Sus scrofa: one gene and its partners. The protein of the gene in region 7 interacts with the protein of the main gene of each other region in a pairwise test. Links are inferred from orthologs where the notes say so. Each region holds a gene or a part of one and is shown on either strand. Other genes may lie near its edges. The genes, in order: PSMD9, PRPF3, EIF4A2, LNX1, UBE2E3, PLCD4 and TRIM39.

What was found.
Region 1: the proteins of TRIM39 (region 7) and PSMD9 interact in binary tests that used the Homo sapiens proteins (3 or more experiments, as listed by UniProt). The two-hybrid records come from large-scale screens. The link is inferred for Sus scrofa from reciprocal best matches to the Homo sapiens genes TRIM39 and PSMD9.
Region 2: the proteins of TRIM39 (region 7) and PRPF3 interact in binary tests that used the Homo sapiens proteins (3 or more experiments, as listed by UniProt). The two-hybrid records come from large-scale screens. The link is inferred for Sus scrofa from reciprocal best matches to the Homo sapiens genes TRIM39 and PRPF3.
Region 3: the proteins of TRIM39 (region 7) and EIF4A2 interact in binary tests that used the Homo sapiens proteins (3 or more experiments, as listed by UniProt). The two-hybrid records come from large-scale screens. The link is inferred for Sus scrofa from reciprocal best matches to the Homo sapiens genes TRIM39 and EIF4A2.
Region 4: the proteins of TRIM39 (region 7) and LNX1 interact in binary tests that used the Homo sapiens proteins (3 or more experiments, as listed by UniProt). The two-hybrid records come from large-scale screens. The link is inferred for Sus scrofa from reciprocal best matches to the Homo sapiens genes TRIM39 and LNX1.
Region 5: the proteins of TRIM39 (region 7) and UBE2E3 interact in binary tests that used the Homo sapiens proteins (3 or more experiments, as listed by UniProt). The link is inferred for Sus scrofa from reciprocal best matches to the Homo sapiens genes TRIM39 and UBE2E3.
Region 6: the proteins of TRIM39 (region 7) and PLCD4 interact in a two-hybrid assay, tested with the Homo sapiens proteins (2 studies listed by BioGRID and IntAct). The two-hybrid records come from large-scale screens. The link is inferred for Sus scrofa from reciprocal best matches to the Homo sapiens genes TRIM39 and PLCD4.

What each region holds. Positions count from the first base shown.
Region 1 is NC_010456.5:30,815,636-30,819,135, reverse strand, and holds part of PSMD9 (26S proteasome non-ATPase regulatory subunit 9), read left to right. Parts: intron 1-2,166; coding exon 2,167-2,269; intron 2,270-3,500. UniProt on the Homo sapiens protein: Acts as a chaperone during the assembly of the 26S proteasome, specifically of the base subcomplex of the PA700/19S regulatory complex (RC).
Region 2 is NC_010446.5:98,754,725-98,758,224, forward strand, and holds part of PRPF3 (U4/U6 small nuclear ribonucleoprotein Prp3), read right to left. Parts: intron 3,343-3,500; coding exon 3,176-3,342; intron 1,442-3,175; coding exon 1,362-1,441; intron 1-1,361. UniProt on the Homo sapiens protein: Plays a role in pre-mRNA splicing as component of the U4/U6-U5 tri-snRNP complex that is involved in spliceosome assembly, and as component of the precatalytic spliceosome (spliceosome B complex).
Region 3 is NC_010455.5:124,581,844-124,585,861, forward strand, and holds the start of EIF4A2 (eukaryotic initiation factor 4A-II), read left to right. Parts: upstream 1-1,218; 5' UTR 1,219-1,253; coding exon 1,254-1,282; intron 1,283-2,109; coding exon 2,110-2,155; intron 2,156-2,241; coding exon 2,242-2,374; intron 2,375-2,651; coding exon 2,652-2,791; intron 2,792-3,542; coding exon 3,543-3,711; intron 3,712-3,831; coding exon 3,832-3,941; intron 3,942-4,018. UniProt on the Homo sapiens protein: ATP-dependent RNA helicase which is a subunit of the eIF4F complex involved in cap recognition and is required for mRNA binding to ribosome.
Region 4 is NC_010450.4:40,346,535-40,350,034, forward strand, and holds part of LNX1 (E3 ubiquitin-protein ligase LNX), read right to left. Parts: intron 1,717-3,500; 5' UTR 1,613-1,716; coding exon 1,221-1,612; intron 1-1,220.
Region 5 is NC_010457.5:86,469,688-86,473,711, reverse strand, and holds the start of UBE2E3 (ubiquitin-conjugating enzyme E2 E3), read right to left. Parts: upstream 2,801-4,024; 5' UTR 2,217-2,800; intron 2,090-2,216; exon of another isoform or gene 1,622-2,089; intron 1,186-1,621; 5' UTR 1,161-1,185; coding exon 967-1,160; intron 1-966. UniProt on the Homo sapiens protein: Accepts ubiquitin from the E1 complex and catalyzes its covalent attachment to other proteins. In vitro catalyzes 'Lys-11'- and 'Lys-48'-, as well as 'Lys-63'-linked polyubiquitination.
Region 6 is NC_010457.5:120,670,640-120,674,139, reverse strand, and holds part of PLCD4 (1-phosphatidylinositol 4,5-bisphosphate phosphodiesterase delta-4), read right to left. Parts: intron 2,843-3,500; coding exon 2,611-2,842; intron 1-2,610. UniProt on the Homo sapiens protein: Hydrolyzes the phosphatidylinositol 4,5-bisphosphate (PIP2) to generate 2 second messenger molecules diacylglycerol (DAG) and inositol 1,4,5-trisphosphate (IP3).
Region 7 is NC_010449.5:23,048,801-23,053,001, reverse strand, and holds the start of TRIM39 (tripartite motif-containing protein 39), read right to left. Parts: upstream 2,801-4,201; coding exon 2,348-2,800; intron 1,063-2,347; coding exon 967-1,062; intron 1-966.

The DNA of each region.
Region 1 (3,500 bases), on a different chromosome or scaffold from region 7:
TGAGAGGAAGGGGGAATGAGAATGACTCCTAATGGGTTTGGGGTTTCTTTGGAAATGTTATAAAATTGATTATTGTGGAGTTCCCGTCGTGGCGCAGTGGTTAACGAATCCGACTAGGAACCATGAGGCTGCAGGTTCGGTCCCTGCCCTTGCTCAGTGGGTTAACGATCCGGCGTTGCTGTGAGCTGTGGTGTAGGTTGCAGACGCAGCTCGGATCCCGCGTTGCTGTGGCTCTGGCGTAGGCCGGTGGCTACAGCTCCAATTGGACCCCTAGCCTGGGAACCTCCATATGCCGCGGGAGCGGCCCAAGAAATAGCAACAATAACAACAACAACAACAAGACAAAAGACAAAAAAAAAAAAAAAATTGATTATTGTGATGGTTTCATGACTCTGTGAATATACTGAAAAGCTTTTGAATTGTACACTTCTTTTTTGGCCACGTCTGAGGCATGTGATGCTTCCTGGCCAGGCATCAAACCCACACCACAGCAGTGACAATGCTGGATCCTTAACCTGCTGAGCTACCAGGGAACTCCGAATTGTACATTTTAAATGGGTGCATTATATGGTATGTAAATTACTTCTCAATAAAGCCGTTAAAAACAGAACAAAGGGGGAGTTCCTGTTGTGGTGTTGTGGTGCAGTGGAAACGAATCTGACTAGTATCCATGAGGATGCGGGTTCTATCCCTGACCTCGCTCAGTGGGTAGGGGATCTGGTATTGCCCTGAGCTGTGGTGTAGGTCGAAGATGTGGCTTGGATCCTTTGTTGCTGTGGCTGTGGTGTAGGCTGGCAGTTGTACCTCTGATTCAACCCCTAGCCTGGGAGCTTCCATATGCCTCCAGTGCATCCCTAAAGAGCAAAAAAACAAAACAAAACAAAAAAACCCAAAAAACAGAACAAAACGAAACAAAAATGGAGGGAGTTCCCGCTGTGGCACAATCAGATTGGCAGTGTGACTGAGTGCTGGGACTTAAGTTTGATCCCTGTCCAGACAAAATGGGTTAAAGGATCTGGCCTTGCTACAGCTGAGGCATAGATCTCAACTGCTGCTCAGATCTGATCCCTGGCTCAGGAATTCCTCGTTCTGTGGGGTAACCAAAAAAGAATAAAACAACAACAATAAAACAAATAGGAGTTCCCTGCTGACTCAGCAGGTTAAGGGTCTAGCATTGTCACAGCTGTGGCTCACGTTCAGTCCCTGGCCAGGGAACTTCTGCATGCTGTGGCCATGGCCAAAAAAAAAAAAAAAGAAAAGAAAAGGAAAGGCCCTGAGTTAACATGTCATCTGGAGGTGATATAAAGCACAAAATGGGGACTTTCTCCTTGATTATTGAAGGGTTGAAGATAACTAAAAGGGCACTTTATTTTTATTTTTTTGCCTTTTTAGGGCCTCCCCTGTGGCATATGGAGGTTCCCAGGCTAAGGGTTGAATTAGAGCTGCAGCTGCCAGCCTACACCACAGCCACAGCAATGCCAGATCCGAGCTGTACCACAGCTCGTGGCAGCACCAATTCATATGCTTCAGGTGCAACCATTAAAAAAAAGAAAAGGGGAAAAAAAAGATTCAGTGTCTACAAAAGGATATAAAATGGAAAGTCTCTCTCCCTCCCTTGTCCCCCAGCCACCCAGTTCCTCTCCCCAGATGGCAGCTGGTGATATCTGGCGATATCAGTGTAGCCTGCCAGGGATGAAAAGCCTGTTTGAAGTCCCCTTTAGATCTCTCTTTATTTTCAGAAGATCCAAAGTCCTGCCTCAGCTCGGTGTTCTTTGGGGTTATCACCCCCTTCCCCCCAGGTTCCAAGGCCACCAGCCAGGTGTCAGCTGCCCATAGGAAGGAGGATTTGGAGGAGTGGAGGAGAGGCTGGCCTTGGGGATGGTGCTCAAAGAAATCCTTAGTTTTATCTGCACTGCATTAACTTCAGAAAAGGAGAGTGGCTTCATGCTTTGCTTGTGTTATTAGAAGTCAGTTAAAAAATAGTGCCCACTTCAGAGGGCAGATGGGAGAGGGTGTGGAAACATACCTCGTTGGCGCACATTGAGTAGTACCTGGCAGTGTCATTACTGTCACCTTTATTAGGAGTTCAGAGGAAGAGTGTCTGGGGAAAGAGGGCTGGAGGACTGCACACTTGTGAATCTTTCTGACCTTGTTTCTCTTCTCCAGCAAAAAGGCGTGGGGATGAACGAGCCGCTAGTGGACTGCGAGGGCTACCCCCGGTCAGATGTGGACCTGTACCAAGTCCGAACAGCAAGGCACAACATCGTCTGTGAGTGGCCCTCGCTGGGGACCTTCTCCCACCTTGTAGCCGGAGATGCTTAGGGCACACAGAGAAAGCACCAGTGCTCCACATTATCCTCTCCCCTCACTTTGGCCTTGATGGGATTACCTCATCTGTCCCCATTGAGAGCCTGCAGACTAAGGGAATGGGTTAGACTCCAGGGCTCTGTGTCCATGGTTTCATTTTTCTTTTTCTTTCTTTTTTTTTTTTTTTTTTGTCTTTTCTAGGGTTGCACCCACAGCATATGGAGGTTCCCAGGCTAGGGGTCTCATCAGAGCTGTTGTTGCCGGCCTACACCAGCCGAAGCAACACCAGATCTGAGCTGTGTCTTCGACCTACACCACAGCAATGCTGGATCCTTAACCCACTGAGTGAGGCCAGGGATCGAACCCTCAACCTCATGGTTCCTAGTCGGATTCGTTTCCAATGTGCCATGACAGGAACTCCATGGTTTCATTTTTTTTTTTTTTTGTCTTTTTGTCTTTTTGTCTTTTTTGTTATTGTTGTTGTTGCTATTTCTTGGGCAGCTCCCGCGGCATATGGAGGTTCCCAGGCTAGGGGTCGAATCGGAGCTGTAGCCACCGGCCTACGCCAGAGCCACAGCAACGCGGGATCCGAGCCGCGTCTGCAACCTACACCACAGCTCACGGCAACGCCGGATCGTTAACCCACTGAGCAAGGGCAGGAACCGAACCCGCAGCCTCATGGTTCCTAGTCGGATTCGTTAACCACTGCGCCACGACGGGAACTCCATGGTTTCATTTTTCATTTTGTTTTTAGGAACTTTACCGTGGAAACTTTATCACAATAACAATAGAAACCCAAGTCAAATATCGCTTACAGTCCTAATCAGATCAGTTAGAGTTAGGAAACAGGTTTAGTCGTTAATGACAGTGCCCTCAGCACGGCCACTCAAACGGAAAGGAGTTCAGTTCCTCGGTAAAGACATCTGGAGGACGGAGTCCCGGGCCGGTCATCAGAAACCCAGGCTCTGCCATCCTTAGGAAGTGTCATCTATCTTGAGGTGGGGTCACCATGTCCCTGTGCCAGGCAGGAAGGACAAAAGCTCCTAGGCCAGCTGGCACCCCTCCGTTAAGGATCTGTCCTGCAAATCCCACCCCCACCCCTGCCATAGTTTCTGCTTTCCTCTCATAGGCTCCTCTGCCTGGAAGAAACGTTGGAGAATGTGCCCCATGGTGCATGTTGCTGTCCTAAATAA
Region 2 (3,500 bases), on a different chromosome or scaffold from region 7:
GATATGCAGAATCTCATTTGGATCCTACCTATTGAACCTCAATGTGTCTATGGAATACAACTTGAAAACCACTGGCCAAGATGATGAAATTTATAATTTGAGAATTACTGGAATTGGAAAAAATCTTCTGGACTCCTAAAGAAGGTTTACTCGACTTGATAAAACATATAAAACCCTCTGCATTCTTTTGATGATTCATACTAATGACAGTTAAGTAGATTCTTATTAAATACAACTCAACAATTACACTTTGCATTATTTCAAGCTCTCAATCTATTTTCCTGAACTTATTGGAGATACTGGTAAGCAAATTTTTTATTTTCTGATTTTTATTTTTGTGATTATAGTTGATTTACAGTGTTTTGCCAATTTCTACTGTACAGCAAAGTGACCCAGTCACACATCGCAGTGACTGGATATAATTCCCTGTGATGGTGAGCAGATTTATTGATTGAGTAAACTTGGTAACTGAGTAAAAAACTAACTTCCTTTGTTTATTCCAAAACTGATCAAAGTGTTAAAATCTTTTATGATCGCTTGAAGAAGGAATATAACTTAATATTATTCCTACATATGAGGAAATTTTGTATTCTAAGTGATTTACACAAGGGATTCAGCTACTTAAAAAACACAGACACGATTAAAACCCATCTTTTTCAACTGAGTCAATACACTTTTGCTACAAAAATGATAGAAAGGCTGAAGACAAAGACTGAAAAAGGCCAGGACTTTAGTGGTGGTGTCTAAGACTAGAGTTGGGAGTCAACACTAACAAAAGGCCAATTTGTAATATACATCAGTGAAGCCATTTCTAGATTAGGCCTCAGTGCTCTACAGCTGCACTGTCCAATACTGTAGCCACTAACCACATTTTCTACTTAAATTTAAAATTAAAATTGAATAAAATTAAAAATTCAGTCCCTGAGTTATATATTATTACAACTCAGGTTTTAAGTTCTTTGTTTTGTGTGTGTGTGTGTGTGTGTGTGTGTGTGTGTGTGTGTGTGTCTTGCTAGGGCCACACCATATGGACGTTCCCAGGCTAGGGGCTGAATTGGAGGTGTAGCTGCTGGCCTAGGTCACAGCCACAGCAACATCAGATCTGCAACCTACACCACACCTCACAGCAATGCCAGATCCTTAACCCACTGAGTGAGGCCAGGGATCAAACCTGAGTCCCCATGTATACTAGTCAGGTTCGTTACTGCTAAGCCACAAGGGGAACTCCAGTTTTTAAGTCTTAATAGTCATATGTGGATAGCGGCTACTGTACAGACAGCTCACATAGAGAACACGTCCACTACCACATAAATTTCTATTGTATAATAGTTCTCTAGAGCTTTGATTGAGTAATCTATTACCTGGAGGGTTAAGCTGGGCTGGATGTTCAACAAGATTTGTGATTCCAAAATAATCTTCTCTCTTGGGATTTTCCTCTGTACTAAAATTGGAGGAAGAAGGGAAAACAGGATATGTGGGTAGAGATGATTCCAAGAGAGGGAGTCTCAGAAACAATGAAAAAATCCACTCTCCATAATGAATTCTAGCACTTTTATAAGTATTTGCATATCTATAATATGTAATTATATTACACATAATTTTCAAGATGAGAAAATGGTTCCATTTGGATGCACTCTTTATACCATTCTCAACCTTTTTTCTACCTCAACACCTTTGATGGATACCATGGACTCTCATTAGTAACAATAACTCCCCGGGGCAGTGGTTGGCCAAGGAAGGGTAAGGAAAGGCTGAGACAGTCTCCTAAAGCCATGTATCAAAATGATGAAGAAGATATGATAAAAGCTCTCCAAATGTTTCTTATATGCTTTATTTATTATTCTCTCCCTCAACAACTAAGAATCCTTGCTCTACTCTAGGTCTGGATCTTTAAGAAATATAAACACCTATTAAAAGGAGCAAAATAATGTATTTCATTTTCTGCTGGAAATTCCCAGGCCAGGGATCAAACCCAAGGAGCAGATGCCACCCATGCTATAGCTTTGGCAACACTGGATCCTTAACCAACTGTGCCACAGCAGGAACTACAAGAATGAAATTAAGAAAATATTCTGGAGTTCCCCTCATAGCTCCGTGAAAACGAATTAGACTAGCATCCATGAGAACGCAGGTTCAAATCTGACCTCACTCAGTGGGTTAAAGATCCAGCATTGCCATGACCTGTGGTAGAGATGGCAGATGCAGCTCGGATCCAGTGTCACTGTGGCTGTGGTGTTGGCTGGCAGCTGCCATTCCAATTCAATCCCTAGCCTGGGAACCTCCATAAGCTGCAGGTGCAGTGTTAAAAAAAAAAAAAAAAAAAAGAAAGAAAGAAAACAAATATTCTGAAGTTCTTGTTGTGGCTCAGCAGGTTAAGACCTCAACTAGTATCCATATGGATACAGGTTCAATCCCTGGCCTCGTTCAGTGGGTTGCTGCAAGCTGCAGTTTAGGTCACAGATGCAGCTCAGATTTTGTGTGGCTGTGGCTCAGATTCGACCCCTAACCAGGGAACTTTCATATGCTGTGGGTACGGCCATAAAAAGAAAAGAGAAGAAAACAAATATTCTGGAGTTCCTATGTGGCACAGTGGGTTACGTATCCAGCACTGTCACTACAATGGCTCAGGTCACTGCTGTGGCGTGGGATTCCTGGCCCAGGAACTTTTGCACATCAGGGGTGTGGCCAAAAAAAAAAAAAAAAAGCAAATAGAAAATTTATAATTATTTGCATATTTATTTATTTGTTTGCTTGTTTGTTTAGGGCCGCACCTGTAGCATATGGAGGTTCCCAGGCTAGGGGTCCAATTGGAGCTACAGCTGCCGGCCTATGCCACAGCCACAGCAACACAGTATTTGAGCCACATCTGCAATCTATACCACAGCTCACAGCAACGCTGAGCAAGGTCAGAGATCAAACCCACAACGTCATAGCTGCTAGTTAGATTTCTGCTGCACCACAACGAGAACTCCTCCACAAGTTATTTAGACTATTTGTGACCAATCCTCCTCCAATAACCCCAAAAAACCTAAAAATAACCCATACAACATACTCTTAACAAATATATGAGCTTGTGTGTGGTTACCTATTCTCCTTAGATCTAATTTAAAGCACAAGTATTGTCCTGCCCATTAAAACTCTAGCCTTACTAAAAGGTATTAACTAACAAACTCACAGGTCAAAGCCATTGGGGATGATGTAAGAGTCCCACCACTCAATTTCAGGGATATCTCCTTCCTTCAACTCCTTTTTAGGAGCAATGAGGGCCAGCCTAGTCGAAGTATGAATGCCTGTTTTTCGAGCTGCCTGTGAGATCTCTGCCTGTAGCTTCTCCAGTTGGGCCTAAAGATAAAAAAAAAAAAAAAAAAGAAGAAGAAGATAAATTGGAGTCAAAGAAAACAGGGAAGTAGTAGAATCCCATTTTTTTTTTGTGGCTGCACTCAGGAAATACGGAAGTTCCCAAGCTAGGGGCTGCATCAGAGCTGCAGCTGCCGGCCTAC
Region 3 (4,018 bases), on a different chromosome or scaffold from region 7:
TGAATATAGTACACAAATATAGAAAATTAAGTCATTTTTCCTGTTATCAGACTTTATGTTGGCAGTCTGATTTAATGGTAAAAGGTTTTCTTGAGTAATTGTGATATTTTGCAGTATGGGTAGGATTGTATTTCAAAGTTAAATGACTATATATATTAATTTTTGTTTTGTTTTTACTAATGAGTATGGGTTAGGGCTATAGTTGAAAGCCTCTGGAGCTTTAAGGGTTACAATGCTCTCAATATCAATAAATCAACATTCATTATATATAAGCAATTAAAATTCAAAAAGCCTTTTGGAAAAAAAAAAAATGACCGGAAGCAAAACTTATGTAGTCCCAAAGCGGCACGGAGCTGTACTTGCCAGAAGCATCCACTTAAATTCCTGAATTACAGGAAAAATTACCCTTCTATTTGCCAGTTTACAATGATTTTATCAGGCATTGCTCACACCTGTTAAAATTTATAACCTTTATTTTTAAAAGGCAGTGAGAGAAGAGGCAACATAAGAAAGGAGTTGGCTACTCCAGAGACAATTTGCAGAGGACCCTACACATTTCTTCTCGCCCTGCACGATGTACGGTAAAGCGGATCTCCTGTGACACGCTGGGCGGCCGACATTTTCCGCAGCGCGAGTTTCACACTGTCAAGGTCTGTATGGATGTTAAACGCTCGTGTCAAAGGCCAGGCGGCTCTTTACCTTCGCGTTAAGTAGCGGCGCGAACAGGCGGAATAGCCCGATTGCCCTCCAGTGCGGAGTATGGCCGTGCCTACACCTTCCGCACCGAGCACGGCGAGCACAGCGAGGTTCCCTGGCTCGCCTGCGGAGAAACCGGGGCCACCCAGCTTCCAAGGGGCCCCGAGCTTCCGCCTCCCGGTCCTGCCCGGCGCCCCGGCCGCCTCTGCTCGAGGGACGCGGAAACCCCGTAGGAGCAGGGCGGGCAGGGAACGCGAACCTAGCTACTGCTTGCTGCAATATTCTTCCGCCGCGGGTCAAAGAGTCCCAACCTTCCCCCAGGGTCCTGGGATTTTCAACAACCCTGGAATATCGACACATAATCAAATTTGAATTTTCTTAATGATTTGCTTCGAATATTTTCTGAGATAAGCATCCCAGGATCACAATTTTGTGACTGGCCGAAGAGCGACAGTAAAATTCCTCCGCGGAAAACGGGTTCCGGCCGCGAGCCTATAAAAAACGGGTGGTGCGGCCCGGCTGTCTTTTCAGTCGGGCGCTGAGTGGTTCTTTGGATCATGTCTGGTGGCTCCGCGGATTATAACAGGTATGGCGCTCTCTCCGGTGGTTTTCTATGGTATGGTCCTAAGGCGCCAGAGGAGATGGTAGTAGGCGGTGAGCAGGAAGAGAAGCCCTGGTTCATAGGCGTTGCCTTGGGCCACGGTACTCCTGTGTCCTTCGAGAAGCTTCCATGAAGTGTAGGGCCCGGGTTGTGGGGAGACGAGACGAGGGTAGGAAAACGGGGTGGTTAAAGCGTGTCTTTCCCCGAAGGCGCATTTGAATCGCAGCCGCCCCCCTGCCCCTGCGGAGCCCGGCGTTTAGTGAAAGCCATGGCGCAGCCCGCGGTTGATAGAGTCTAATGGGGCTCGGAGGTTTATTCGCGGCCAGCGGCGCGGCTTGGGCGCGCTAGACGGTGGTGGGGTGGGGGGCAGGACGGCGACGGCGCCCACTGCCCGCGGCTGGAGGCCGGATGGGGCCGCGCCGGCCACGGGGTCCCAATGAGCCGTTGGCTCGCCTCTCCAGGCCTCGGCCCGCGTCAATCACCCCGGCTTGCGCAGTGTTAGGGGCGGAGCTCAGCGCGTGGAGCTCTCGCGAGACGGTCCGCCGCCGAGGGGAGCGCCTGCGCTCGGGCTTGGAGGGGGAGGGCCGGCGTCGGAGGGGCCTTTCCGGGTGTCCTCAGGTCCTAACCTTTGAGCGGGCGCGCGGGACATTGTGTGCCCTGCGGCATCAGCTTCTTCTGCGGCTTTGGGAAGTGGACTCGTGCAGGGGAGGGCGACCTCAAGAGACCGGTTGTGAAAGCGCTTTTTCGCCCATGTGCAGTTGAAGTGGGTTTGGGGAAGGGATTTTCTCTAACTGCAGTGTTTTTGTTGGCAGAGAACATGGCGGCCCAGAGGGAATGGACCCCGATGGTGTCATCGAGGTAAGAAACGTGTGTGGAATTTGAAACTCTGGGAAGGTAAGTGTGTTCGTCCCATTTATTCCTTTTTTTTTTGCCCAAACTTTCAGAGCAACTGGAATGAGATTGTTGATAACTTTGACGATATGAATTTAAAGGAGTCTCTTCTTCGGGGCATCTATGCTTACGGTTTTGAGAAGCCATCAGCTATTCAGCAGAGAGCTATTATTCCTTGTATTAAAGGTAAAAGAATTCGGCTGTTTTTAAAAATGAATTCACTCTTCTGCATAGACCTGGACCGTAAAAGGGAACGTATACCTTCTGGGGGACTAGCACCTATTTGTATTCCAAAAAGTGAAATGATGGCAATCATCTTTCGGGACTGACCTGAAATGAAGAGAATACTCATTGCTGATCACTTGATTATTTGGGCATAATTATGTTCCAAATGGAATACATGGTGTGACTAGAAGTGACGGTTTGCTGTGGGATCGGTAAATATGTATCCTACTTTTTTTAGGGTATGATGTGATTGCTCAAGCTCAGTCAGGTACTGGCAAGACAGCCACATTTGCTATTTCCATCCTGCAACAGTTGGAGATTGAGTTCAAGGAGACCCAAGCACTAGTATTGGCCCCCACCAGAGAACTGGCTCAACAGGTATTGATAGTGTAGTTCAAAAAAACTGCTTGCGTGTTGCATAGGTTTCAGGTTTCACAACTGTGGAGAATTTAAAAGCCTAGTATAAATTGGTCCTACAGAGCCCTCCTTTTAACTGTCCATGCATGCAGGGAGTTATTGTTGAAAGTTAAACAGGAACTGGGTGTGCAGGTATGGTTTGCAAGGTTGTGTAACAGATTGAGAAACTGAAGATTTCTGTTCAGGCTGGACTAGATCTTTTCTCATTTTAAGTTTGAATCCAGTTGTGCAACATGAAAGCTGCAGTGACATGTTCATTCATTTGACTGTCTCAGTATGTGATACATCTGTTGCATGCTGCGTTTTCAAAGCTCACTACTATATTGGCTTTGAAGTAAACCTTGCTAATACACTTGTAGTTGTTATTAAGGTCAAGATTATATGCTGCAGTACTTTGCGGGAAAAAGTTTGTTAATGATGATAAATCTTATTTACTCCTTCCTGCACAATACTAATGTAGGAAATGTTTTTCACTCTAAATAACCTGGTTGGTATCTGGGCAATAGGATCCCAAGTTTTGACAAGGCACAAGATATTTCAGTGAAGTTTATCCTGACAGTTATATCTGTCTGCATTTTTTTCAGCTTGAAAGTAGTTAGGTGCTCTGCATGCATTAAAGCTGTTTGCAGACCACATACTTGTCAATATGCTTTGGAAGTTTAGTCACAGCATGTAATGCTGCTGGATGATAATTAACGCTTTTGGCTTTCAGATCCAAAAGGTAATTCTGGCACTTGGAGACTATATGGGAGCAACTTGTCATGCCTGCATTGGTGGGACAAATGTTCGGAATGAAATGCAGAAACTGCAGGCTGAAGCACCACATATTGTTGTTGGTACACCAGGGAGAGTGTTTGATATGTTAAACAGAAGATATCTTTGTAAGTATTACTCCCTATTAGTATAGTTTGTTGGAGTATAGATTTTTTTTTTTTTAACTCTTAGGAATCAATAACATGCCTGATAGTCTAGAGATAATAGTACGACTTTATTTTTAACAGCTCCAAAATGGATCAAAATGTTTGTTTTGGATGAAGCAGATGAAATGCTGAGCCGAGGGTTTAAGGATCAAATCTATGAGATTTTCCAAAAATTAAATACAAGTATTCAGGTGAGCTTTATTTTCCCTCATTTTCCTGTAATAGCTGGAGGTTAGGTTAATGCAGGTACTGTTACAATACAACTGAA
Region 4 (3,500 bases), on a different chromosome or scaffold from region 7:
GCTGTAGCCAAAGGTCTACAGCACAGCCACAGCAATGCTGGATCCAAGCCCTGTCTTTGACCTACACCACAGCTCAGGGCAACGCTGGATCCTTAACCCACTGAGCGAGGCCAGGAATCGAGTCCGCATCCTCCTGGATACTAGGATCGTCACCACTGAGCCACAAAAGGGACTTCCTAAATTTCTCCCTTTTAAAACTTAGTTGAAAATACCATACCTCAAAGGATGGTTGGGCTTTTCCCAAAGGTTTCCTGTGCAGAGGCAATTCTAACAATCATGGGCCAAATTAGGAGACATGCTTTTCTTACATAAAAAGACAGGCAATGCCTACTAGGAAATCTTTTAGGGGACTGTAAGCCCCAGAGAAAGCTTCTTGTCATTTTTTTCAGTATCTTTCACAATTTGAATGCACACAAAGGAAATAAGCTAGTCACAAAGGACAGACACCAGCAATGTTTCTTATATGAGGTTTGTAGAGCAATCAAATTCATAGAGACAGAAAGTAGAATGGTGGTTATCAGTGCTGGAGAGGAGGGAATGGAAAGTTATGCATTTTGCTGTTGTTTTTCTACTTAGGGCTACACCTGCAAGCAAATGGAGGTTCCCCGGCCAGGGGTTGAGTCAGAGCTGTAGCTGCTGGCTTACACCACAGCCACAGCAACCCCACATCCTATCTGCATCTGACTTACACCACAGCTCATGGCAATGCTGGATCCTTAACCCACTGAGGGAGGCCAGGGTTGGAATCCGCATCCTCATGGATACTATTTGGGTTCATAACCTGCTGTGCCACAGTGGGAACTCATTTTTTTTTTTAATGGATGTGAAGTTTTAGTTCTGAAAAATGAAAAAAGTTCTGGAGATGGATGCTAGTGATGGATGCACAACAAAATGAATGTACTCAATGTCATTGAACTGTACACTTAAAATTCTAACATGGTAAATTTTATGTTATGTCTATTTTATAGAAAAAACCAGCCTATAAGCACAAGCGTACACTCACATCCCACAATTTTACCACGTGCTCTTTCCTCATATGGAACCACAGCCGTGAACACCTAAAACGTTTCTTATTTTGAATGAATACTGTCTCTGGTTGCAAAGCAGAAGGCAGAGAAAGGACCATCTCTGAGCGCACCTGGGCCTCGGAAGGCCCCGCCCTTTCAGCCACCATGAGGGCGGGGCTTCTCAGGATTGGCCGAGGAGGAGCCCCTCCCTACCTTGTTTGAAAGTGATGCTCCAGGTCACAGCGCTGCAGCACCTCCTCACAGTGCTCGGTGAATGGGCAGGTCACCAGCAGCTTGTTGAGGAGCTTGTTGACCAGGATGCTGGATTTCTTGCAGTGCTGCAAGACCACAGGCTTGCGGTCCACGGGGCAGAAGTCCTTCTCCACCAGGAAGTTGGTGAGGCAGACTGTGCAGTACGTGTGTCCACAGGGAGTGTCCAGAGGGTCCAGCAGTGCCTGCAGGCAGATGTGGCAAATGAGGTCATCGTCCACCTCTTCTGGGTAAGTGTAGAAGTGGTTTTCCTCGGGGGAGTGGGCTTGGCCACACACCACACATAGGGGTGCAGGGCTGAGGTCCGGTTCATCAGCGGGGTCTGACAGGTTCATGGTCAGCTGGGCAGCAGGGCAGGGCAGGAGCACAGGAAACCAACCCCGGGGATACAGTATTTCCTCTGGAGCAAATCAAGATCTTCTTGGTGCCATCCACAAACCTGAAAGAGAGCAAGACTGCTCACTGAAGATGCTATCATGGACGTGAGGCAATGCGGCTAGTGGACAGAACTGAGCTGAGCTGTGCCCCAGGTAGGCCAGGGTGAGTGCCCATGAGCTGTGCCCCAGGGAGGCCAGGGTGAGTGCCCACGAGGGTGACTGAGGTGACCTGGGGCCAGCGGCTTTGCCTCCTTAGGCCTCAGTTTAACCACCTATTCCAGTGGGAATAATATTTACCATTAACATCCTCCTGTTGGTGCGATGAAAATCATTTGGGTAAAATCTGCGATGTGCCCAGAAATCTGCCTTCTGAAATGTAAATTGTTAATCCAATAGACCAATGATCTATAAAATTCTCTGTCAGGAGTTCCCATCATGGAGCAGCAGAAATGCATCTGACTGGGAACCACGAGGTTGAGGTTTTGATCCCTGGTCTTGCTCAGTGGGTTAAGGATCCAGTGTTGCCGTGAACTATGGTGTAGGTTGCAGATGTGGCTCGAATCTGGTGTTGCTGTGGCTGTGGTGCAGGCCAACATCTGTAGCTGCGATTGGACCCCTGGCCTGGAAACCTCCATATGCCATGGGTGCGGCCCTAAAAAGCAAAAAAAAAAAAAAAAAAAAATATATATATATATATACACACACATATATATATATACACATACACACACACATATATGCACACACATACATATATACATAAATGTACATACATATATATATATATAAAATACACACACACACATATATATAATATGTTCTTTGTCAGATCAGGACAAGAAGAAGAAACAGTAAATGCTCTGATGGCTTTCTCTGATTCTTGCCCCAACTTTTCTCCAAAACTCAGAAAATATGGGACCTCAGAATCTTCAACTAAATCATCTGAGGAACTAGGAGCAGTTGAGGCTGTTGTAATTTATGGTGATGAAAGCACTGTTTTCTGCTGTGTGCCTTGCATTTATTCTAGTCATTAGTGATGAAGTAGGTTCTGGAGCCACATGGCCTGGGCCATTCCTACCACCACTGTGGGCCAATGATTGAGGCCTTTGTTTCCATAGCTAAAATGAGGGTAATAATAGTGACCTCATGGGGTTGTTGTGAGTATTAAATGAGATATGAGACATAAAGCTTTTATAATTATGCCTGGAATATAGTAAGGGCTTTCTAACTATTAACTATTCTTACATGCATTGGCCACTGAAGTCATTCTATCTCCAGTCAAGCTTAATTGGCCTGTAAACTGAAAGTTATAATTCTTATAAGGAGTCTTTTTGCTTCGTTCTAATAGTATTCTTTTTTTTTTTTTTTTTTTTTTTTTCCTAGGGCCACACCATGGCATATGGAAGTTTCCAAGCTAGGGGTCAAATCAGAGCTACAGCTGCTGACCTACGCCACAGCCACAGCAACATGGGATCCAAGCTGCACCTGGGACCTACACCACAGCTTGTGGCAATGCTGGATCCCCGACCCACTAAGTAAGGCTAGGGATCAAACCCGAATCCTCATGGATCCCAGTCGGATTCATTTCCACTGAGCCACAGTGGGAACTCTTAGTAGGCTTCTTTCATTCAATTATACGTATGTTTATTCAAACTGGTAAAATTCTATCACACTGTGTACCTCCCTTTGGTATAGGAGTTTAAGATGGAGTTTTTAACATGCCCAGTTAACATGTAGGAAGTCTTCTGGATGATCAATCAATAAACATTTTTTTTGGCCTTCAGTTGTTTTTCTTAATGAGCTGCAGGAGAGTGAAGTTAGAAAAAATGATAATCATAAACTTTGT
Region 5 (4,024 bases), on a different chromosome or scaffold from region 7:
CATAGAAAATTACTACAGCATGCCAACATTTGATCAGCTTTTATATTTTCTTTTTCTTTTGGTTGTGATAAAAAAATGAACAAAATGTCGATACTGCTGAAGGCTGTAGAAACATCTGATGTATAATTCCTAGAATTCATGGATGTTCCACAACTACTACCACTGATGGGAGTCCCATTAACAGAATCTTTTTTTCACCATCACAGATAATATTAATCAACAGGAAACAAATGATCTTTCTCTTATATGCAACAAAATATGTTTCTCCTGCTGTTGAGTATTAGCATGTCAAGCATATCCACAAGTTTTAGAGTGGAGAGGCACTATGGCAAAGTTTTCAATCACCAAGTGCCACCTAAAATGTAAATGGCTGCTTTTCAGTTTTATTTGCCCTCACAAGGACACACGAATATAACCACAGCTTAACTACAAAAAGTAATACCTGGGACATATGACTTAAAGTCAGGTTTGTAAAACTGAAAGTGGACTTAGCGCACAGTTTTTAAGTTTGCTTTCAAATATAGCCAAGGAAGGCCTTGAATTTACAAATTTTCTAGCACACATGATTACTTCTGATCATTAAGTTTCATGGAGAGGCACTGCTGATCTCTAGAAGTGTCAATTTCAATGAAGAAGAAAATGACTCATAAAAAGGAAATATCCTCAATGTACCAGTTAATTTGAGTTGACCAAATTTTCCTTGCCAACTCCTTAAACAATCTGTCAGAGGTTAATCCAATCTCTCTCCAAGGACACTCTCACTGAAGTTACCAAAGTACAGAACAAGTTTGCTTAAAAGCCTAATTCTAGGGAGGTGGCTTATAGACCATCTAAAGAATGACAACTCATTCAAGTACAAATAAAACTGATCAAGAAGGAAGTATTTTTCAACTATTGCTACTGATGTAAAACCAACAAAAGTGTCCAACACAGACAACATGCGTAATCCTTTTTTTCACACATTACCTTTTAGCACTAGTGGATAACTTAGCAGTGGTTTTGCTAGAGAGTTTGGTGTTTTTCTTCTGCTGGGTGGCAGAAGGTTTTCTTTCTTCTTGTTCTTCTGGCTCTGGAGCGGCTGGGTCTCGCTGGTCCGCATCTGAACTACCACTGCTGGTGCTGGGGCTCTCATCATCGGACCTTTGCCGATCACTGGACATCTTGGTGAAGTTATTTCTTGGAAAACTTTTCAATAGAAAAGGGAGAAAGGACAGGTAAGTCTATTAAATAAACCAACAGCATTTTCATCTCTTTATCTTCACCTAAAATCGTATTTTAATGAAAAGACTTCAAAAGTGTTCACACTTATCTCGTCGTAAAGCAAGGTTACAGGGGAGGTGATGGGTCTTACAACGCCAGCGTTCAGGGATTTACGAACTCAAGTTAGAAAACCCACTCACATTTTTTTCCATCCCTTGGACAATCTATCAATTGTCTACTTTCTCAGAAGGCATGAAACAGATTTGCCAGGGAACTTAGGCAACGAGCATTAATAACATATGACACACTGTAAATAACAGATCTTGCTGAAAAATGTTAAAAAGTCACTAATAACGTCTAAATATTTACACGCTGACATTGGTCAAAGCTACCAAATTCCCTTTCCAAGAGGAAAACATACCCTGTTAATCGCCCATATGCTTATTTAAGGTGGCGATTCCTCCTCGGTGCACGTAAGCCTTTAAATACAACACTTAGGAATTTAAAAAATCAACTAACAAGCTGCTCTAGCCGTTTCCACGGCCAGCAGGGAAGATTCATCCGGCCAAGACCGAGCTGCCACCCTGGGAAAAGCAAAATTCAAACTGCACCTTCTGCAAAGCTCCCCATGCCATCAAGGTTCCTCGCTCAATTTTTACATCACGGACCGACATTTTGTCCAAAATAACGAAAAAAAAAATCAGAGGAAAAACAAACAAACAAACAAAGCCCCAAGAAGTGCAACAAATTTCCGCGCCCGCGGAGGCGAGCCGCGGCCGGCGGCGCGGCCACGCAGCTCCGCGGCCCTTTGTGGGGAGGGCCGCGCGGGGGCCGCGGGCAGCGCTCGCCGCGCCGGGCGCCAAGTGATGCGAGCAGCCCGGCCGGCCCCGCCGCGGCTCGCGGACACCGGCGGCGCGGGCGCCCGGCGCGAACAAAGCTGCCCGCCCCCGCCCCCTCCCCCACCGCCGCCGCCGCCCCGGCCGCCCCCACGCGGCCCCCCGGCCCCGCCGCCTTACCTCGGCCGCCCGCCCGGCCCGCTCGCGCGCCGCTACGGTGTGGGGGAGGGAGAGAGAAAAAAACCCTTCCTTAAGGAAATGGAGGCAGCTGGGGGGGGGAAAGGGGGGGAGGGAAAAAAAGAAGCCGAGGAGGCTCTGGCCGGGGAGTGTGGAACATTGAAAGTCGGAGGGGGTTGTGCAGTGCCGGGCTCCGGCCGGAGGGTGGCGCCGCCCAGCGCCTTCGGAAAAAAGGGGGGGTGGGAGCTCGGCTGGGCGAGGGCGCGAGCTCCCGGCGAGGCGGAGGGGACGCGGGAGACCCCCGCGCGCTGTGGCCTCCCGCCGCCGCCTCCCGGCTCGGCTCCTCCCGGCCGCGCAGTCAGCAAGTTCCGAGGCGAGCGCGGGGGAGGGGCGGGCGCGGCGGCGGCGCGCGTGCTCGCTCACTGCTTGCCTGGCGAAGGGGCACGCGCCGCCGGCGGGCGCGAGCCTTTCTCGCGCGCTCCCGCGCGCTCTTTCCGCGCCTCCCTTCACCCGGGGGGCGCACGCGTCCGCCCGCGCGCGGCCCGGACAAAGAGCGCGGCGGGGACCCAGCGGGCTGGCCCCTGCCGCCCTTGGCCGCGGAGCGGGTGCCAGAAAAGGCGGGGGCGCGGGCGCCGTCTCGTGGGGCCGCTGTGCCGCGGGGTGGCTTCCGGCCTGAGCCCGCCTCCGGAGCGAGACTGCCCATTGGGCTACCTACCCCGCACGCTGGGCCGGGATCATCCCTGGGGCTGACCTGCAGCCCCACTGCATGTGCAGGGGCCGGCTTGGACCCCAGGGGCCCCAACTTCTGGACTAGCGCCCCGGGTGCGTGGTCGAGAGTCCCCCACTGCCCTAGAAGACTGCAGACTAATGGGTGTCGTTGACGAAGGCGGGCATGCAGGAGGAGGAAAGCTGCCTCTTGCCCCTCGTGTGAGCTAAAAGGGCAACATGGGGTCTTCGGCATCGAGGGAGGAAAAGAGATTTTGAGACTAGTTGACCAGCCTCTGCTTGCTTCTCTTTGGCCCTCAGCATACCAAAGGAGAAGGTGATCCTTCGGGTGCTTTGAAAACTTAAAAATTCAAAACAATTTTTTAAATGTCCCACTCAAGATTGTTTAAGTGAAGAAGGTCATAAACAGGGTTTATACCTGATGCTTTGCTGCGTGGTTCTAGTGAGGTGCATGCTAGAGGCCAGTTCTGGAAAGAGAACCATCTGTGATACTAGGTCAGAATGTCCACCCAGAAAAAAAGCTTCAGGTGGAGATAGTGAAGGTTAGTAGTTTTGTTCTGTCATTCTCTCTTGCAGTCTCCAGGTGGACTGCAGTTTTTGCCCCAGGCACAAAGTAACCAGAAGTACAAAAACTTCCTGTTTGCAGCCCAGACCTTCTCCAGCTCCTGAGAACTTGCTCCAGTGATGGAGCCCCAAAGGAATTTGTGGATTCCTCTCCCACAAATGTCAGGAGCAGGGGTGCTGGGAGAATGTGGAGTTCAGAGCAGGAATGACAATGGCAGAGTCATAACAGATGAACTAGAATTAAAGGGAAAAAGGGGAAAAAAAGGCTGAATGAGCCAACATATTGACTTTTTTTTCCTCCAGAGAGAAAAGTTTTGGTAAAGTGCTGCTTACAAATCTGAAGAGTAAGTTACAGTTCTGTAATTTTCCAAAGACACTGTCATTCGGTGAACCTTTTGGAGAACTATGCCCTAATTGCTGGACACACAAAACTCTCTCATTCAACTAGTGTGTGACTAAAGCCAGGTCTCCCTGCTCTAGAAGCCACCAGTCCAAAAGGAGAGCAAATGTTAAAGTCCACC
Region 6 (3,500 bases), on a different chromosome or scaffold from region 7:
GCCCCCCTCTCCTGACTGATTGCACCCTCTGTAGCCGGAGTGCTGTAGCTGATAGTCAAGTACAAAGGGAAGGAACAGCACAAGGGCTGGGAGGTAGAACAAGGTAATGATGTATCCTGTCCTGGAAATAGAGGATTCTCTTTCTTTCTTTCTTTCTTTCTTTCTTTCTTTCTTTCTTTCTTTCTTTCTTTCTTTCTTTCTTTCTTTCTTTCTTTCTTTCTTTCTCTCTCTCTCTCTCTCTTTCTTTCTCTCTCTCTCTCTTTCTTTCTTTCTTTCTTTCTTTCTTTCTTTCTCTCTCTCTCTTTCCTTCCTTCCTTCCTTCCTTCCCTCCCTCCTTCCTTCCTTCCTTCCCTCCTTCCTTCCTTCCTTCTTTCCTTCCTTCTTTCTTTCTTTCTTTTTTTTTGTCTTTTTAGGGCCGCACCAGCAGCATATGGAGGTTCCCAGGCTAGGGGTCCAATCGGAGCTGTAGTGGCTGGCCTACACCACAGTCACAGCAACCCAGGATCCGAGCCACATCTGCAACCTACACTGCAGCTCACAGCAATGCTGGATCCTTAACCCACTGAGCAAGGCCAGGGATCGAAACTTCGAGCTCATGGATGCTAGTCAGATTCATTTCCTCTGAGCCATGGTGGGAACTCTAAGGATCCTATTTCTTAACCTTCCAGCTTCTTCTTCTACTTATTCTTGGCAATGATTGCTTTATAGCCCCTTTCTTCTCTGAACACCCACGTGAATTTGGAATCAGTGATTTCATTGCTTTCTGTTTGACTCTCAGTTCCATGAGGGCAGTGTCCTTGCCTGACCCACTACTGTATCTCTGATCCCTACATAGGTCCTGGCACCTTGCAGGTACCCAGTGAGCCCCTGCTGAAGTAGTGAATGAATGAAGGAATGAAAGGCAATGGGAGTTGAGACCCAGGAAACCTGGGTCACTGGTCCAGGTCATACTCATCTTGCCTCTAATCCTCATTCTCTACGAGAGGCACCAGGTAAGAGTCAGATGGCCTGGGTTTTTTTTGTTTTTTTTTTTTTTTTTTTTGCTTTTTAGGGCCGCATTCACTGCATATGGAGGTTCCCAGGCTAGGGGTTGAATTGGAGCTCCAGCCTATGCCACAGCCACAACCCTAACCCTAACCCTTGGGATCCAAGCCACATCTGCAAATTATATAATAGTTCGTGGCAATACTGGATCCCCAACCCACTGAGCAAAGCCAGGGATCAAGCCCACATTCTCGTGGATATTAGTTGGATTCATTTCCGTTGCACTACAACGGGAATTCCAATGACCTGGGTTTTATTTCCAGTACCTCCTTTCATTAGTGTTGGCTTTGAGCAAGTGATTTGATTTTCCTAACTTTTTTTTTTTTTTTTGGTTGCACCCACAGTATGCAGAAGTTTCCAGGTCAGGGATTGAACCCATACCACAATAGTGATAATGCCAGATCTTCAACTACTAGGCCACCAGGGAACTCCTTGAGCTTTCTAAACCTCAGTTTTCCTGATTTGCACAGTATTCTTCTTTTGACTTAATAATAGAAACCACTTCATAGAGTTGTTGGAAGGATTAGAAGAGGAAAGGCATATAGAGATGGTGGCACATTCTGGGATACTTAGCAAAAGCCCAATAAAGATGATTGCCTTTGATTTACAAGGTTGGAGTGGGGACTAAATAAAGTAAGAGATATGAAAGTGCCTTGTAAGTCACTTATTATTAATAATGTAAATGCATCACATCCCCACATTCTGAAGGGAATGGAGGGCAGGAAAGTGTCTACTAAAGAAGGCAAAGAGAAAGTTTTGAGTGCAGAGAAAGTCTATTTTAGCTGTGCTTGCTAAAAGCTGAACAACTGGCCACCTCATCATCCTCCTCAGCCAGGGGCTGACAAGTTTCTTGGCTCAGAGGCTTAGGACTCAAGAACCACTTGGAGAATTTGGAGAAAGCCCAGGAAAGGGCAGAGGGCCAGCATTTAAAGGGACAGCCAATAGGAGCCATGAAGTGAACTAGGAAAAGGAAACATAGGCACTAGAGAAAAGGCCAAAAGCAAGGACCAAGGATTTTCCATTTCCAACAAGGACAAAGTTGATATCAGGAAGAACTTCCTGAAGGTGAAGGATGTGAAACATGAGCATAGTGGAGGAAAGGGGACTTGTGGAATGTTCTTCCTCCTGAGAGATCTAGCATTGACAGAGGAGAATCCTGTCTTATGTAGGTAGGAAATGGCTCTCACCTTCCAGACAAGTGGTTGAATGGGATGAAGATGATTGGACAGGGGGCCTGGGGCGGGGGAGTGGACTTAGCCTCCTCTTAGTTAGGCGGAAGGCTGATTGTCTCTGGACCTTTTTTTTTTTTTTTTTTTTTTTTTAAACAGCTGCATATAGAAGTTCCTAGGCCAGGAATTGAATCCAAGCCTGCACCGCAGCTGCGGCAACACCTGATCCTTTAAATGCACCAGGTCAGGGATCAAATCTATGCCTCCGCAGTGACCTGAGCTGCTGTAATTGGATTCTTAACTCACTGTACCACAGCAGGAACTGCTTCTGGATCTTTCTAATCACGGTCCCCCATGAGCCCCCATGTCTGGTGCCTTTCCACCCTAGTCTTCTTACCACTATCTGAAGGCTCGTGGCGGTCGATGAGTTCCAGAGCAAGATCAGAAGCACGTTCTCCTTCTTTCTGCTCCTCTTGGAGGAAATCCACAAATTCCAGCAGTGTTAGCTTCTGCCCATCAGATGAAAAGTTTTCAAACAATTCCTGCACCTCAGCACGCTTAGTCAATGACTTATAGAATTCTACAAATTCTTCTCCCTCCAGAGTCCCAGACTGGGATGTGTCTGCTGTCTGTAAGAGATGGTTCAGAGGAAAGTGGACAAACCCTTTAACAGTACTTTTTTTTTTGGCTTTGACTTTCCCTGTAAGGGTAATATTATTGATGGATCCAGACATGCTTCCATAAAACTCCCACAGAACTCCTGACACTTAGTGTTCACAGAATAAGTCACTTCAGTTAAGTGAAAAGCTTATCAACCATATCATTTGCTATTAGAGAACATTTTCGACTAGAAAAAGTTAAATGCCCCGATATGTCCCTAGAATATTGGAAGATTCCTGTTTGTTTGTTTGTTTTTTGGTCTTTTTAGGGCCGCACCCATAGCATATGGACTTTCCCAGGCTAGGGCTCCAATCGGAGCTGTAGACCACAGCCACAGCAATGCCAGATCTGAGCTGCACCTGTGACCTACACCACAGCTCACGGCAACACCAGATCCTTAACCTACTGAGCAAGGCCAGGGATTGAACCTGCATCCTCATGGACGCTAGTCAGATTTGTTTCCATTGAGCCACGATGGGAACTCCTCCCTCCTCCTATTTACTCACATGCTAGCTGAAGTTTTCCACTGTACTAGGCACTTGTGACCTTCTGGCCATGGACAGAGAGGTCCCTGAGGTCTGATGTAATAGCATATTGTTATTTACCTTTCATAAGATCATGAGTCAT
Region 7 (4,201 bases):
GCAGAACTCTAAGACCTAACACAATCCTGAAAGTTTGGAATGTCTTGGATACCTAATGAATTAATGCTCAGGGCTCAATAAATACTAGTTATTATTACTGCTACTATTAATACATGTCTCACTGTCCAATAGAAGAAATAGGACAGATACCAAAATACCATGCTACAAATATGTTAATGCTATGGAAGAGATGCAAAACTGTATGCAAATTAAAAGAGCCAATTTCTAAAGGTTCCAGAAAGGCTACATAAGCAGTGGTTTTCACCAATAGGATCCTACAGTAGAGGATGGGGAAAGGAAGACTATCCTAGAAACTAACCTCATCTAGCATTTTTGAGTTTACTTGAGTTAAGAGAATGTGGTCTAGAGGTTACTGGGCAGCTCCTCCATCCTTCCTCCCGAGTGCATCTTCCACATTCTTCTTGCCTCAATCCCTCTAAGAAACTCCTATCCCTGCCCACTCAGCAGAGAGCCTTCTTCCCTGCCTTACAAAGAAAAGGAGACCAACAGGCATGAACTCCCTCAACTCCACAGATATAAGATATTCTGTCCTTCACCTCTTCCATCTTTCTCAATACTTAATCCATGACAATTAATCTAAGTACAATGTTTAATGACAATCAAGCTTAATAAAAATACCATCATTTCTGAGAGAACAGCATTTTTCTTTTTCTTTCTTTTTATGGCCGCGTATAGAAGTTCCTGGGCCAGGGACTGAATCTCAGCCACAGCTGCAACCTAACACCACAGCTGTGGCAACGATGAATCCTTAATTCACTGCACTGGGCCGGGGATTGAACCCTTGCTGCCTCAGAGACAACGAGGGATCCTTAACCCACCGTGCCACAGCGGGAGCTCCGAGAATAGCATTTTTCTAAGGAACCAGAACTGGGGGGGTTAAATAATGTGTGGTTAATGTTTGGTTAACTGCCTGTAGAGCAGCCCAAATGGATCTCCTGCCTTTACCTTGAGTTCGCCAGGCTTCTTCTCCTCAGAGGACTTGCAGCGGGTGATCTCCTGTAGCTTCTGCTCCAGGGGCTCCAGGCACTTCTGCAGTTTTTCCTGAGGGGTGCAAAGTGGGAGAATGGCATTTGGGATTATCTGGTACATCCTATGTTCAGAAACTAACCCATTTGTTTTAAATCATTTGTTTTGCTTCCTATCCATCTCTTACCACCTCTTGATGCAACTGCCTTGTCTGTCATTTGGGGTGTCAATTTCCTACAGGTCCCTCTTCCTGCCACCAACCTGTCTCCATATCACTTTCTTTGTTCACCAAACTTTCCTTTCACTGAATCTCACAGTGTCCAGCTGTCACCAACTCTCTGTCCTTCTCCTGCCCTGTTCATTTTCTTACTCATGGAACTGCCTATTACTGTCAAAGTGACCTCCTGTCCCCTGATATCTTTCTTTAAATTGTTGTCCTATCCAACTCTAACCACTTGCAAATATAATACAATCTTGATTACTTATTTTGGAAACTACCATAAAATCTTATTTCTAAGATTTTACTAATATAATTGGTCAAAGTTCTTGATAAAGTGCTAAGACATTAAAATCTCGAGTTCCTATTACTCAAACATGTATCCTGGGTCCCAGTGGTAAGTTAATCCGTATACCATGTTATCTATCATCCAGGCAAGATGCAAACAGACTGGTTCAGCTTGGCCTGGTGGAGGTCATTCTAAAGTGATGTTATCTATGCCCAATACTAGGTTAAACAAGGGGCATGTGAGCAGGAGGAAAGAATGAAGAAACCAGACTACCTTTCAGTTCTTCCTAAATTTGATCTTCTCCATGCGGTTTCATTCACTTGTGAAAAACATAATACATTCCAGGACCACACATACGCAGATGTGTTATAAAAGTCAGAGAGAAATTTTGGGATATTTCTCATTGCTTTTTTTTTGCTTTTTAGGGCCGTACCTGCAGCATATGGAGGTTCCCAGGCTAGGGGTCCAACGGAAGCTACAGCTGCTGACCTATGACACAGGTGCAGCCATGCCAGATCTGAGCCGTGTCTGCGACCTACACCATAGCTCATGGCAACACTGGATCCTTAACCCTCTGAGCAAGGCCAGGGATCAAACCTGCAACCTCATGGTTCCTAGTCAGATTTCTTTCCACTGTGCCATGATGGGAACTCCTCTCACTGCTCTTCTTCATGCCTGAGGATAACTGATCAGATGTGCTGTGTGCCTAGTGTATGTAGCTCTGAGGGGAATACAGAGTGAGGACCAGATACCATCTTGCCCTCAGGAACTTATGATCTTCTACCCAGGGAATCTCTCACCCTCTGCACTCCTCTCCCTTGCCCTGCATTAGCATCATGTGTCTGGTTCCTTACCTTGTACTCCTGGGTGGCATCATCCAGTGGCACAACGGTATGGGCCCGGTGAGTGTGGGAAATTGCACATATCAAACAGACAGCCTCCTGGTCCTCATAGCAGAAGAGGCTGAGGGCCTCGTGGTGCTGGGGGCAGAGGCTCTCATCTCGGATCTTCCGCTTGACAGCTTGGAGCTGCTTGGCAATTTCCACCATACTGCCCAGCTGTCGATTAGGCCGGAGGCTGCGGTAGCGGGATGTCTTTCGACAGACAGGGCAAGGGAAGTCCCTCTCTAGGTCCTCCCACCAGCGGGTGATGCAAGCTTTGCAGAAGTTGTGCCCACACTCAATGATGACAGGCTCCTTCAGATACTCCAGGCACACAGAACAACTTGCCTCCACCTGTAAGTTCTCCAGCGCTGCAGCTGTGGAGGCTGCAGAGGCCCCGGCCTCTAACAGACTTGTCTCTGCCATTATTTAACTTGAAGTTAGGAAGGGGGAAGAGGAAAGAAAAATGTTAATTGGAGGTTTAATTTTTTGGCATCCCTGACCTGACATGTACGTCCATGTTAAACGCTAACTGCAGATTTAGTCCCTTCGTGGTATTTTACATCTTCTCTCCCACTAGTCAAGCTCTTTTGTTTCTCCATTTCCAAAACTTGTGACTCCCAGACATTAACTTTTTTTTTCTCTGCAGCAAACTGACATATAACCCTCAATCTCTTGTCTATTATCACTTCCTCTTGTTAGAAACAGAGGCCCCTTTCAACTTTAGCCCAAAGTACTTCTCCTGATTCTGTTTCATTCCATTTGTGTCTTAGAACCAATAGTTCCAGACCAATGAATTCCTGGTTGGACATACTTATCTTTTTTGGCTGTGCCCATGGCAGGTGGAAGTTCCCAGGCCAGGGACTGAACCAAAGCCACAGCAGTGAAAATGTCAGATCCTTAACTGGCTGAGCCACCAAAGAACTCCAACACATTTTTCTTTTTGCTTTTTAGGGCCAAAAAAAGAACTTCCACAGCATATGGAAGTTCTCAGGCTACTGGTCAATTTGGAGCTACAGCTGCCGGCCAATTATACCACAGCCACAGCAACTCTGAAGCAGAGCTGCATCTGCAACCTACACCATGGCTCATGGCAATCCAAGCAAGGCCAGGGATTGAACCTGCATCTTCATGGATACTAGTAGGATTTGTGTCCGCTGCGCCACAATGGGAACTCCCCGACATATTTTTTCTAATGGATGAGAAAGGAGTTTCAGAAAGTGGAATGTGCCATAAAAGTCAAGCATTAAGGTTTCTTTCTTTCTTTTCTTTTTTGGCTGCACCCGTGGCATATGGAAGTTCCCTGGGGCCAGGGATCGAATCCCAGCTGAAGCTGTGACCTATGCCACAGCTGTAGCAATGCCAGATCCTTAACCCACTACAGCACAGCAGGAACTCCTAATTAAGGTTCCTTAAGTATGCATTAAAGCGTAATGTTACAGAAGAGTTTTACTACAATAGCCCATTGGAACCTAAGCTTGATTCTCTGGCATTGTTCTCTCACTCTTTCAAACGGTAATAAATGGAGTGAGTTAGGCAAGGGTAACAACCTCTTTTTTTCAGAAGTCTGGAATTATTCTTCCTTTTAGCAGGCTAGCCTAGAGGAAGTGTGCTATCTTTTCGGAATGAAATGATTCATACAACAACTCATTTCTATTTGTGTGCATTTGGACTTTTGGAACTGCTAGAAAGTGATAAATTCATGGCAACTGTACTAGAAAGTCTATTTCTATTACTGAGCCCAGGGCAAGAACTTCTTGAAAAGACAGCTGACATGTCTATTCTAGTATTCAGCAATGACTGGAGTCTTCTGAAATCAACATCAAT